2 linked regions of the Oryzias latipes genome follow. The protein of the gene in region 1 purifies or fractionates together with the protein of each later gene. This does not show direct contact. Links are inferred from orthologs where the notes say so. Each region holds a gene or a part of one and is shown in the gene's direction. Other genes may lie near its edges.

Region 1 (4,457 bases):
AAGGCGAGCAGACGGGAGTATTCAAACACTAACAAGACATGATCCAGGCTCTGAACCGGCAAAAGCAAAACAAACTGGAGAACTGGGGAAGGCGGAGTCAAACTCACATGACACGCCCACCAGATGTAAAAAGTCACATTTTTATGAATCAACACGTCTACATTCACATTTTCAGGGCAGCAGAATTCTCTCATAAATATACCACATGTACGTTTTTTAATTAGACGTTGTTTCAATAACTGTATATTACAGTTTTTCTCAGTCGCTTCAGTACAATTCTCAGATCAGAATGAAATTCCCAAAACTATTTGTTCAATATTCACATCATGATGTCACTTATGCACATCATATAAGCAGTTTCTCACTTCTTTGAACAAGTTGCAGTTGCTTTGGTACATCCATGCAAATGATTATGTACAATTCTCTGCTCTTTGCTACATTATCAGTTGTTTATGTCATGTTGATCAAAAATGTATTATATAGTTCACCTTGCAACAGTCTTACTCCTCAAAACACCTAGTCATTAGTTCATCGTAAGTCGTCAACTGCAAAATGGTTGACCAAGTTGTCATAATGTGACAAACATATTTCACTGCATTGCAAGAGAGGCTATTCGCTGTGATGTGGATGAGAATTCGTGGCCTAAAATACAGGAACGACAAGAGGTGTAGGAAGACCACACCAATTCCTACTGCACTGCCTGTACTGTTGTACAGAATATTGTCCTTTCTTTTATTTTCCGTTTGTGTTACTGTTTGCGGTGTTTTTTTTTTTATGTTGGTATGACATGGTCTGTCAACAAATTACAATATGAACAATAAAAGTGTAAATGTGAATCTTGTCCAGTCTCTTGCAATCAAACAGAAAAGGTGTAACTTACATTTTACAATAATTGTCATCCAAACTTTAGCCATAGTTTACATCAGAACCTCCCTCTAAAGTACACAGTTATATTGACAACATGACTAAGTAATTTGACTGTCTTGTTCGTAGACAATGACACAAGGACTTGACATTCTGATGGCACTGACATGTTCAATGACATAAAGACTTAGTTTTGAGAGATGAACCAAAGATCTATGCTGCTGTTTGTACAAATTGTTTTGAGAAATGCACACACGTATTTGCAAACTTCAATTCTGATCTGAGAATTGTACTAGAGCAACTGAGAAAAACTGTACCTGGTTGCATGTTTAGATAAATCCGAATATAAATAGTAATTAGGGAAAAAATAATTCATATTTATTTCCTCTTTAAAAACTTTTACTTGTTAGTTTTTTCTATTTTTTTTTACCGCTGTTGACTGCGGCTACCCAATATAAACAAACAAACAAAAAAGTCAAATTAACTTTAAAAGTCCAAAGGAAATGTGTTCTTAAGTTCTCCAGGATTTACATAATTAAAAAAATTCTGTAGTTTTGTTGAATTTCCGGTTGGTGTTTGTCGCCCTCTACTGGCAGAAATCTATAACTGCAAATTGTCTGGAAATGGACGCCCACCTCCAGACTCCTTCCTTCCGCTGCATTTTCGCGGGAGTCCTCTGGGAAGGCGGGGCCACAGAGGGAAGCAAACACTTTATTGGATAGCTGAACTGGGAGCCGAGGAGGTGGCTTGCAAGCTGGCCAATAGTGGTGCACGCTTTGGTGGCACGTGATATGTAGTGGCGCGAAACTCTTTCACTTGTGTGGTTTGCCTGCAGAGGAGCACACTGCGGCGGTTAAAGAGTTTTTATTAGTTTAAAGACTTAAAAACTTAACTTTACAACAAAGATGTCGACCGACGTCGTAGATGACCAGGAAATGAGGGAGGCACAGAGGGACTATCTGGACTTCCTGGACGACGATGTGAGTCTGCGGCAAAAAACTGTTCTGTTCTGTTTCTTTGGTCTCACGTGAAGTGATTCGGTTTTGGCGAAACTAATTATTTTTTCTGTTTTAATGTTTTTCATCACGACTTTTCATTTTTAGCAAGACCAGGGCATTTACCAAAGCAAAGTCCGGGACATGATCAACGAGAACAAAGCACGACTCATCGTCAACATCAACGACCTGAGGAGACGCAACGAAGCCCGAGCTGCAAAGTCAGAAACAACACAATGCAAACACAACACACACACTTTTCTGTAAACGTAACACGTGCACACAAAACAGCGAAAATCATAGGGCGATTTCGTGATCAAAAGGAGAAATGTAACGTTTTACTCTAGTTTATCAAAACGGTGATTTGGAGTCAATTGCGGCCCTTTTGTCTCTATTGAGGCTCATTGACTTTGAAAAAAGGTTAATAATTTACATAAACATTGGGTATGTTTTTTTTAACTAATTGTCTTTATTTTAAGTCAAGTAAATCTGCTGCAGCAGGAAATATAGGTTATATTTTATTTTGGGATATATTTAGGATATATTTTATTTTGAAAGGAATTTGTTACTAGTAGAAATTAATTACATTTTAATCATGAGTGAAGATCACCTCAGGAAATTCCGTATTTCTTTAATGAATTTGAACAATTTTCCTCTAACAGACTGATGACCAACGCATTCGAGGAGCTGGTGGCGTTCCAGCGGGCTCTGAAGGATCTGGTCGCCTCTGTGGACGCCACCTACGCCAAGCAGCACGAGGAGTTCTTCGTGGGTCTGGAGGGGAGCTTCGGCGCCAAGCACGTCTCGCCGCGGACGCTGACGTCCCGCCTGCTGGGCAGCATGGTTTGTGTGGAGGGCATCATCACCAAATGTGAGCACATTTCTGTTTGTGGGATTGGCAGAAGGACGGCAGAAGCCCTGATGTGACTTTGTGGTCTGTAGGTTCTCTGGTGCGTCCCAAGGTGGTGCGCAGCGTCCACTACTGCCCGGCCACGAAGAAGACCATGGAGAGGAAGTACACTGACCTGACCTCGCTGGACGCCTTTCCCTCCAGCGCTAGTTACCCCACCAAGGTACAGGTGAAGCTGCCATCTTAGCCTCCTCAGACGCGAGCTTTGGACTGAACGTGATGCTTTCAGGACGAGGAGAACAACCCGCTGGAGACGGAGTTCGGTCTGTCCATCTACAAAGACCACCAGACCATCACAGTGCAGGAAATGCCCGAGAAGGCCCCCGCGGGCCAGCTGCCCCGCTCCGTGGACATCATCCTAGACAACGACCTGGTGGATATGGTGAAACCCGGAGACAGGGTGCAGGTGATCGGAACGTACCGCTGCCTTCCTGGAAAGAAGGGGGGATTCACCTCCGGCACCTTCAGGTGAGACACGTTTCTCTGCCGCTTTCCGGGTTTACTGAGAAACTTTGACCATTAACTCAATTCTTTTGGGTTGTAGGACGATCATGATAGCATGCAACGTGAAACAAATGAGCAAGGAGGTGTCTCCGTGCTTCTCTGCCGACGACGCTGCCAAGATCAGGAATTTCAGTCAGACTCGCTCCATTGTGCGTCATTTTCCTCCCTTTAGAACTTCCTGTTTCAGCAGACAGAGACGTTGAAACATTTGGGTTTTTCTCCCCCCTGTAGAACGTATTTGACCAGCTGGCGCGCTCTCTGGCTCCCAGCATCCACGGCCACGAGTATATCAAGAAGGCCATCCTGTGCATGCTGCTGGGAGGCGTGGAGAAGGTTCTGGAGAACGGCTCCCGCATCCGAGGGGACATCAACATCCTGCTCATCGGTAAGACCACCGCAGGAATCCAGGAGCTTCTGGGTGGACCCACTTCCATTATCTTGTGATCTATTGTAAAAAGCGCAACCCCAACCCCCCTTCACCTCCCCGTTGGTGATCGTGGGTCTTTAACCTCTGACAGGTGACCCGTCGGTGGCGAAGTCCCAGCTGCTGCGATATGTCCTCCACACGGCGCCCAGAGCCATCCCCACTACCGGGCGGGGGTCGTCTGGCGTGGGTCTCACGGCTGCCGTCACCACCGACCAGGAGACAGGTAACCCCGCCTTTTCTCTTGACTAACTCGATCGTTCTCCTTTGCTCCACCGCTCAATGGGTTTTCTCCCCCAAGGCGAGCGGCGCCTGGAGGCGGGCGCCATGGTGCTGGCCGACCGCGGCGTGGTGTGCATTGATGAATTCGACAAGATGTCCGACATGGACCGCACGGCCATCCACGAGGTGATGGAGCAGGGCCGCGTCACCATCGCGAAGGCCGGTATCCACGCACGGCTCAACGCCCGTTGCTCCGTGCTGGCCGCTGCCAATCCGGTCTACGGAAGGGTAAGCCCCTCCCCTGCAAAATCTCGCCACACTGACTCCTACTTCCTTTCATCTACTTTTATTTTTGCCGCAGTATGACCAGTACAAGACCCCCATGGAGAACATCGGCCTGCAGGACTCTCTCCTGTCTCGCTTCGACCTTTTGTTTATCGTTCTGGACCAGATGGACCCGGAGCAGGACCGCGAGGTCTCTGACCACGTGCTGAGGATGCACCGCTACCGCGACCCGCGCGAGCAGGAGGGGACAGGT
Region 2 (4,499 bases), on another chromosome or scaffold:
CAGCAGGACTTACCGTGGGGAACGTGGACCCTGGCGGGGAGAACATCTGAGGTGGGGGGCTGAAAGAGGTCGGAGCCTGCTGGGGTGTGTGAGGTGGGGGCAGGATCTCTGGAGCTGGAATGTAAGGACTGGCTCTGCTGCTGGACGCCGTGTGGCGGTACGGGTTGTGATGCTGCGGCTGCATCTGAGCAGGAGGCGGGGTCATCGTTGTAGGGGGAGGAGTCTGTCGTCCCAGCGGACTCTGGTAAACAGCACTGCCAAACGTTGAGGGAGGGGGGTTCATTTGTGAAGCTGTGGATGGCGGAGACATGGCGATGCTGCTGGGAAAAGAAACGGGTCCAGCAGCGGTTAAGGTCGAGGAGCGTCCTGCTGGCGGGCATGGTGACTGACCAATACTGGCAAAGGGGTCAGAGGTCGTTACGGGGTTGGAGAAGTAGCTGAAGGTGGAGGAGGCCGCCGGCGGACCGTTGGCCGAGGTCTGACCCAGGAAACTGTCTTCTTCTCCAACGTCAGTAGAGTCTTCTGATGGACACAAAGACGGGTCAACGTTTTCTGACACTGAAACTGCAGGTCAGGGTTTCTGTGAGGCTTCTCTAAACATCAAACTTCAGGAGTGAAGCTTCACCGCCGTCCACAACATTTCCAGCTTTCTCCATATGATTCTAAACTTTTATGAGCACCATGACATCCTGTGTGATCCTTTCCTAAGTGGAAACGATCAAACAGGATGTTATCGAGTGGTTTTCAGGCAATAAGCATGTTGACTTCACTAAAATACATGTATAATATATAAATAAAATAAATCTCTAAAAGACAGATTCCAGCATTTTAACAACAACATTGTTTTAAATCTGAACAAAGTTCATCCATTTACAACTCTTCACTAAAAATGTTTAAACTGACTCATTTTCTTTTAACAAAAGCAGATCCAGTGTTGCAGATAAAACGCGTCACTTTTTCATCTTTTCTCTCAATCTGAGGGTTTTTAAAGGCTGAAGCAGCACAGCTAGCTAACCGGCTAGCTTAGCTAGCTAGCTCTCGCCCTGACAACATTCGGACCTCCGTCCGCGGTTCCGCTCACCTCCTGACAGCACCGCCGGGCCCGACGCCTGACTCACCGGCATGAAAGGCAGGTTAAAGCTAAAGTCTGGAGCGGCACTAAAGAGTAAATTCGCGCTGCTGTCGGGACCACTGTTATTTTTTCTATCTGCCATTTTCAGCTGGATTTACACGTAGCCACAACCGGACCAGGCTGGCAGTAAATGCGAAAGAAACGTCTCCTGACGTCACAGTTTTCCCCGATCTCCAACACTCACGCGACACTAGATTTCAGTAAACATCTTAGCAGATGTTTTATAAATCTTCGAAACATACCCGATTGGCTTGACCCGAGGGGATCAATGTTTTTGGTGCTGCCATCTAGAGGCCCGGATGATGATTCAAACTCCTTTGGTTTTTTTTTTGCACCTTTTTTCTTCTTTTGTCAGAACAAAGTAAAATCTCGTGAGAGATAACAAATTTCTACTTAATTTGTAACGACTTCGGAATCCAAACCAGTTTTTAGGGCGGTGAACAAAAGCAAAAAGTTGCTTGTGGCTCCGCGCTCCGGTTTACTCCGGTTCTCGAATCAAACCAACCCCCTCTTGGTGCGCAGTGACGCAAATTTCGCGCCTCGCTTCTGCAATCCCGAGTGAGTGAAAAACTTATCGGAGAAGTGAAGCCGCGCGGGTTTTCCTCGCACGTTTGTCTTTGATTCCACGGGTTCAGTGGCCGGTTAGCGATGCTTTCCACGCAGGACTGGATTCACGCACCTCTCGGTGTTGTTGAAGAGAAGTTTGGTGAGAAACTTCCCTCCACAAACACTTAACGCCTCAGACTAGCTCGTTAGCCGCGCGCGCGTCCAGCCGCCCTCACATGGAGCTTTTTTTTTTTCCTTTACAAACTTTATTAAATGTAACATTTCAATACACAACAATGCAAAACAGCAACAAGAAAGGAATAAACCAGGTGGTTATTATTACATTTCACACAAAGACACTGAAACTGACGCACTGGTGCCGCTGCCCGCGGTGCATCAGTTTAAAACTTTATTGACACAGTCGGTGGACATAGACGAGAATCGGGCGCGCGGAAACCTTTACTGACTGTAGAAATGTCGTTCGGGGTTCGTCAACTTTTTGTTAGATCTAAAGACGTTTTTGTTTTGTCATACTGGTTCTTTTGAAGTGACTTCATATATACAGTCTCTGATGATGACGAATTCCTTCATGAAGAACGAAACCAACAATCTTGAAGTTCATTAAACATTTACTTTATTTCATTTTTAATGCCAATGTGTTTGTTATTTTAACATTTTTTTTAAACGATCGAATAAAATGACACATTCACACATGTTAATATAAAATGCAAACCGTAGTTTAAACCTTCAGCAGCATTCATTTGCTGCCGGAAATGACGTCTTCCTTTGATGCTGCAGCGGCTGCGCAGAAGGGTTCCTCCCCCGGGTGGGAGGCGGAGGTGGTGGAGTTTTTTAAGGAGCAGCTGAAGGAGAAGAGCGCTCAGAGTTTGGTGAGGAGAGTCCTGCAGACGGCGTCTTCACCGGCCGTCCGGTTCTGACCTTGTCCTTTTCTGGACCAGGTTCCGTCTCTCAACGACGTTCCCCTGCATTACCTGAAGCCCAACAGTTTGGTGAAGTTTCGCTGCTTCATCCAGGACATGTTTGACCCGGAGTTCTACATGGGAGTGTATGAGACTGTGGACGGACCCACGGATGCTAAAGTGAGTGTGCCCCCCCCCCCCCCCCCACATCTCTAGCATCAGCTGACCCCCCTCCCCCTCATTTGTCCTGTTTGACCCCCAGATGCTGCACTGTGGGAAGTACAGGGATGTGGCAGAATGTGGGGTGAGTCTGCATCCTGCTGCTGTCCTCAAAGGTGGTGCAGCCGCTTCAGCTCAGCTGTTGGTTTGAATCCCAGGTGGACTTTAACTCCAAGAACACCGTGACGGCAGAGCGGCAGACCTTCTACTGTGTGCCCATTCCTGGGGAGAACCTGTGGGTGAAGGACATATCCTGGGATCAGGGATCAGGTTCTCTGATGACAGTGTGAACAGTTGTGTGTTGTTCCTTAACCTGAGAGCACGGATATGCGGGCAGCAGCCAGGCGCGCGTGGTGGCGTCCACCTCCTACGTGCCGAGCAGGCAGAAACGCAGCTACGAGGAGGACGAGGACATGGACACGCAGCCGCAGAAGCAAGCTCACGCAGGTGTTTGTCTTCGCCGTCTGCTGGGTGTCGAACCTTAGGCGTCCTCCCCCCTCAAACGTTCTCCAAATATTTCTGCAGGTCTTCAGGGTCCAACGGACCTGCAGAGCAACGCCGACTGTAAGCGTCAAGAGACGGAGGCTCCTCCCACCCAGGCGGCGTCCGCATCCCACCTCGACCTCAACTTCCCCCTCCCAGGAGAGAGGGGCCCCGCCTGCCTGGTGAAGGTTGGAGCTGGACGAGCGCGTTGGTGGCTCCGGTGGGAACCCTGATCCTCAGGCTGTGCTCGTTGGCAGGTGTACGAAGACTGGGAGAGCTTCAAGCTGAACGACGCCCTGGAGGTTTTCGGGATCCTGTCCGTCAGTCCCGCTCTCAGCGCCCTGGCGGAGGAGAGGTGAGGCCCTCGCTTCGTAGCCCCGCCCCCTGTCTGCGTGCTGCCCGTCTCACCGCCTTTCTTCCTCGCAGAGACGCCTCCTCGTCCTTCCTGGACCCCACGGAGGGCATGGAGACGGCGGAGGAGCAGCGTGTGCACAGCCCGCCGGCCTCGCTCGTTCCCCGGCTTCACGTGCTCCACGCCAAACCGCTGCAACACAACAACCCGCTGCTGCCGCACGCAACCTCGGACGACAACGGCGCCTGTAAGGACGCGTGTTTTTGTAGAAACAGAAATGATTCCAGACTAGAAGAAAACGCCGAAACACCAAAACCAGTAAATTCTGTCGCTTCCGTGGAAATTCATCAGCATCACGCAGGAACTCAAGACGTTTGACCTGGAGGACATCTGCCCCCCCCCCTGCTCCACCCTCCTTACACGTCTGCCCCCCCCTTCTCCACCCTCCTTACACGTCTCCCCCCCCCCGCTCCACCTCTTACACATCTGCCCCCCCTGCTCCACCCTCCTTACACGTCTGCCCCCCCCCCTGCTCCACCCTCCTTACACGTCTGCCCCCCCTGCTCCACCCTCCTTACACGTCTGCCCCCACCTGCTCCACCCTCCTTACACATCTGCCCCCCCTGCTCCACCCTCCTTACACGTCTGCCCCCCCCCTCCACCTCTTACACATCTGCCCCCCTTGCTCCACCTCCTTACACGTCTGCCCCCCCCCGCTCCACCCTCCTTACACGTCTGCCCCCCCCGCTCCACCTCTTACACGTCTGCCCCCTCCTCTCCACCCTCCTTACACGTCTGCCCCCCCTCCTCCACCTCTATACATCTGCCCCCCCTGCTCCACCTCTAT

The links.
Region 2: the proteins of mcm3 (region 1) and mcmbp purify together in Homo sapiens (affinity purification with mass spectrometry; 10 studies listed by BioGRID and IntAct, counting the BioPlex papers as one, with this or other methods). This does not show direct contact. The link is inferred for Oryzias latipes from reciprocal best matches to the Homo sapiens genes MCM3 and MCMBP.

The regions. Positions count from the first base shown.
Region 1 is NC_019882.2:13,463,801-13,468,257, reverse strand, and holds the start of mcm3 (DNA replication licensing factor MCM3), read left to right. Parts: upstream 1-1,350; 5' UTR 1,351-1,769; coding exon 1,770-1,844; intron 1,845-1,967; coding exon 1,968-2,080; intron 2,081-2,521; coding exon 2,522-2,730; intron 2,731-2,801; coding exon 2,802-2,932; intron 2,933-2,998; coding exon 2,999-3,237; intron 3,238-3,313; coding exon 3,314-3,422; intron 3,423-3,504; coding exon 3,505-3,658; intron 3,659-3,791; coding exon 3,792-3,923; intron 3,924-3,998; coding exon 3,999-4,207; intron 4,208-4,280; coding exon 4,281-4,455; intron 4,456-4,457. UniProt on the Homo sapiens protein: Acts as a component of the MCM2-7 complex (MCM complex) which is the replicative helicase essential for 'once per cell cycle' DNA replication initiation and elongation in eukaryotic cells.
Region 2 is NC_019873.2:29,884,490-29,888,988, reverse strand, and holds the start of mcmbp (mini-chromosome maintenance complex-binding protein), read left to right. Parts: upstream 1-1,627; 5' UTR 1,628-1,780; coding exon 1,781-1,838; intron 1,839-2,476; coding exon 2,477-2,568; intron 2,569-2,637; coding exon 2,638-2,778; intron 2,779-2,860; coding exon 2,861-2,902; intron 2,903-2,975; coding exon 2,976-3,065; intron 3,066-3,140; coding exon 3,141-3,264; intron 3,265-3,342; coding exon 3,343-3,488; intron 3,489-3,557; coding exon 3,558-3,655; intron 3,656-3,726; coding exon 3,727-3,899; intron 3,900-4,499. Other genes in the region: sec23ip (SEC23-interacting protein), read right to left, coding at 14-522, 1,082-1,214. UniProt on the Homo sapiens protein: Associated component of the MCM complex that acts as a regulator of DNA replication.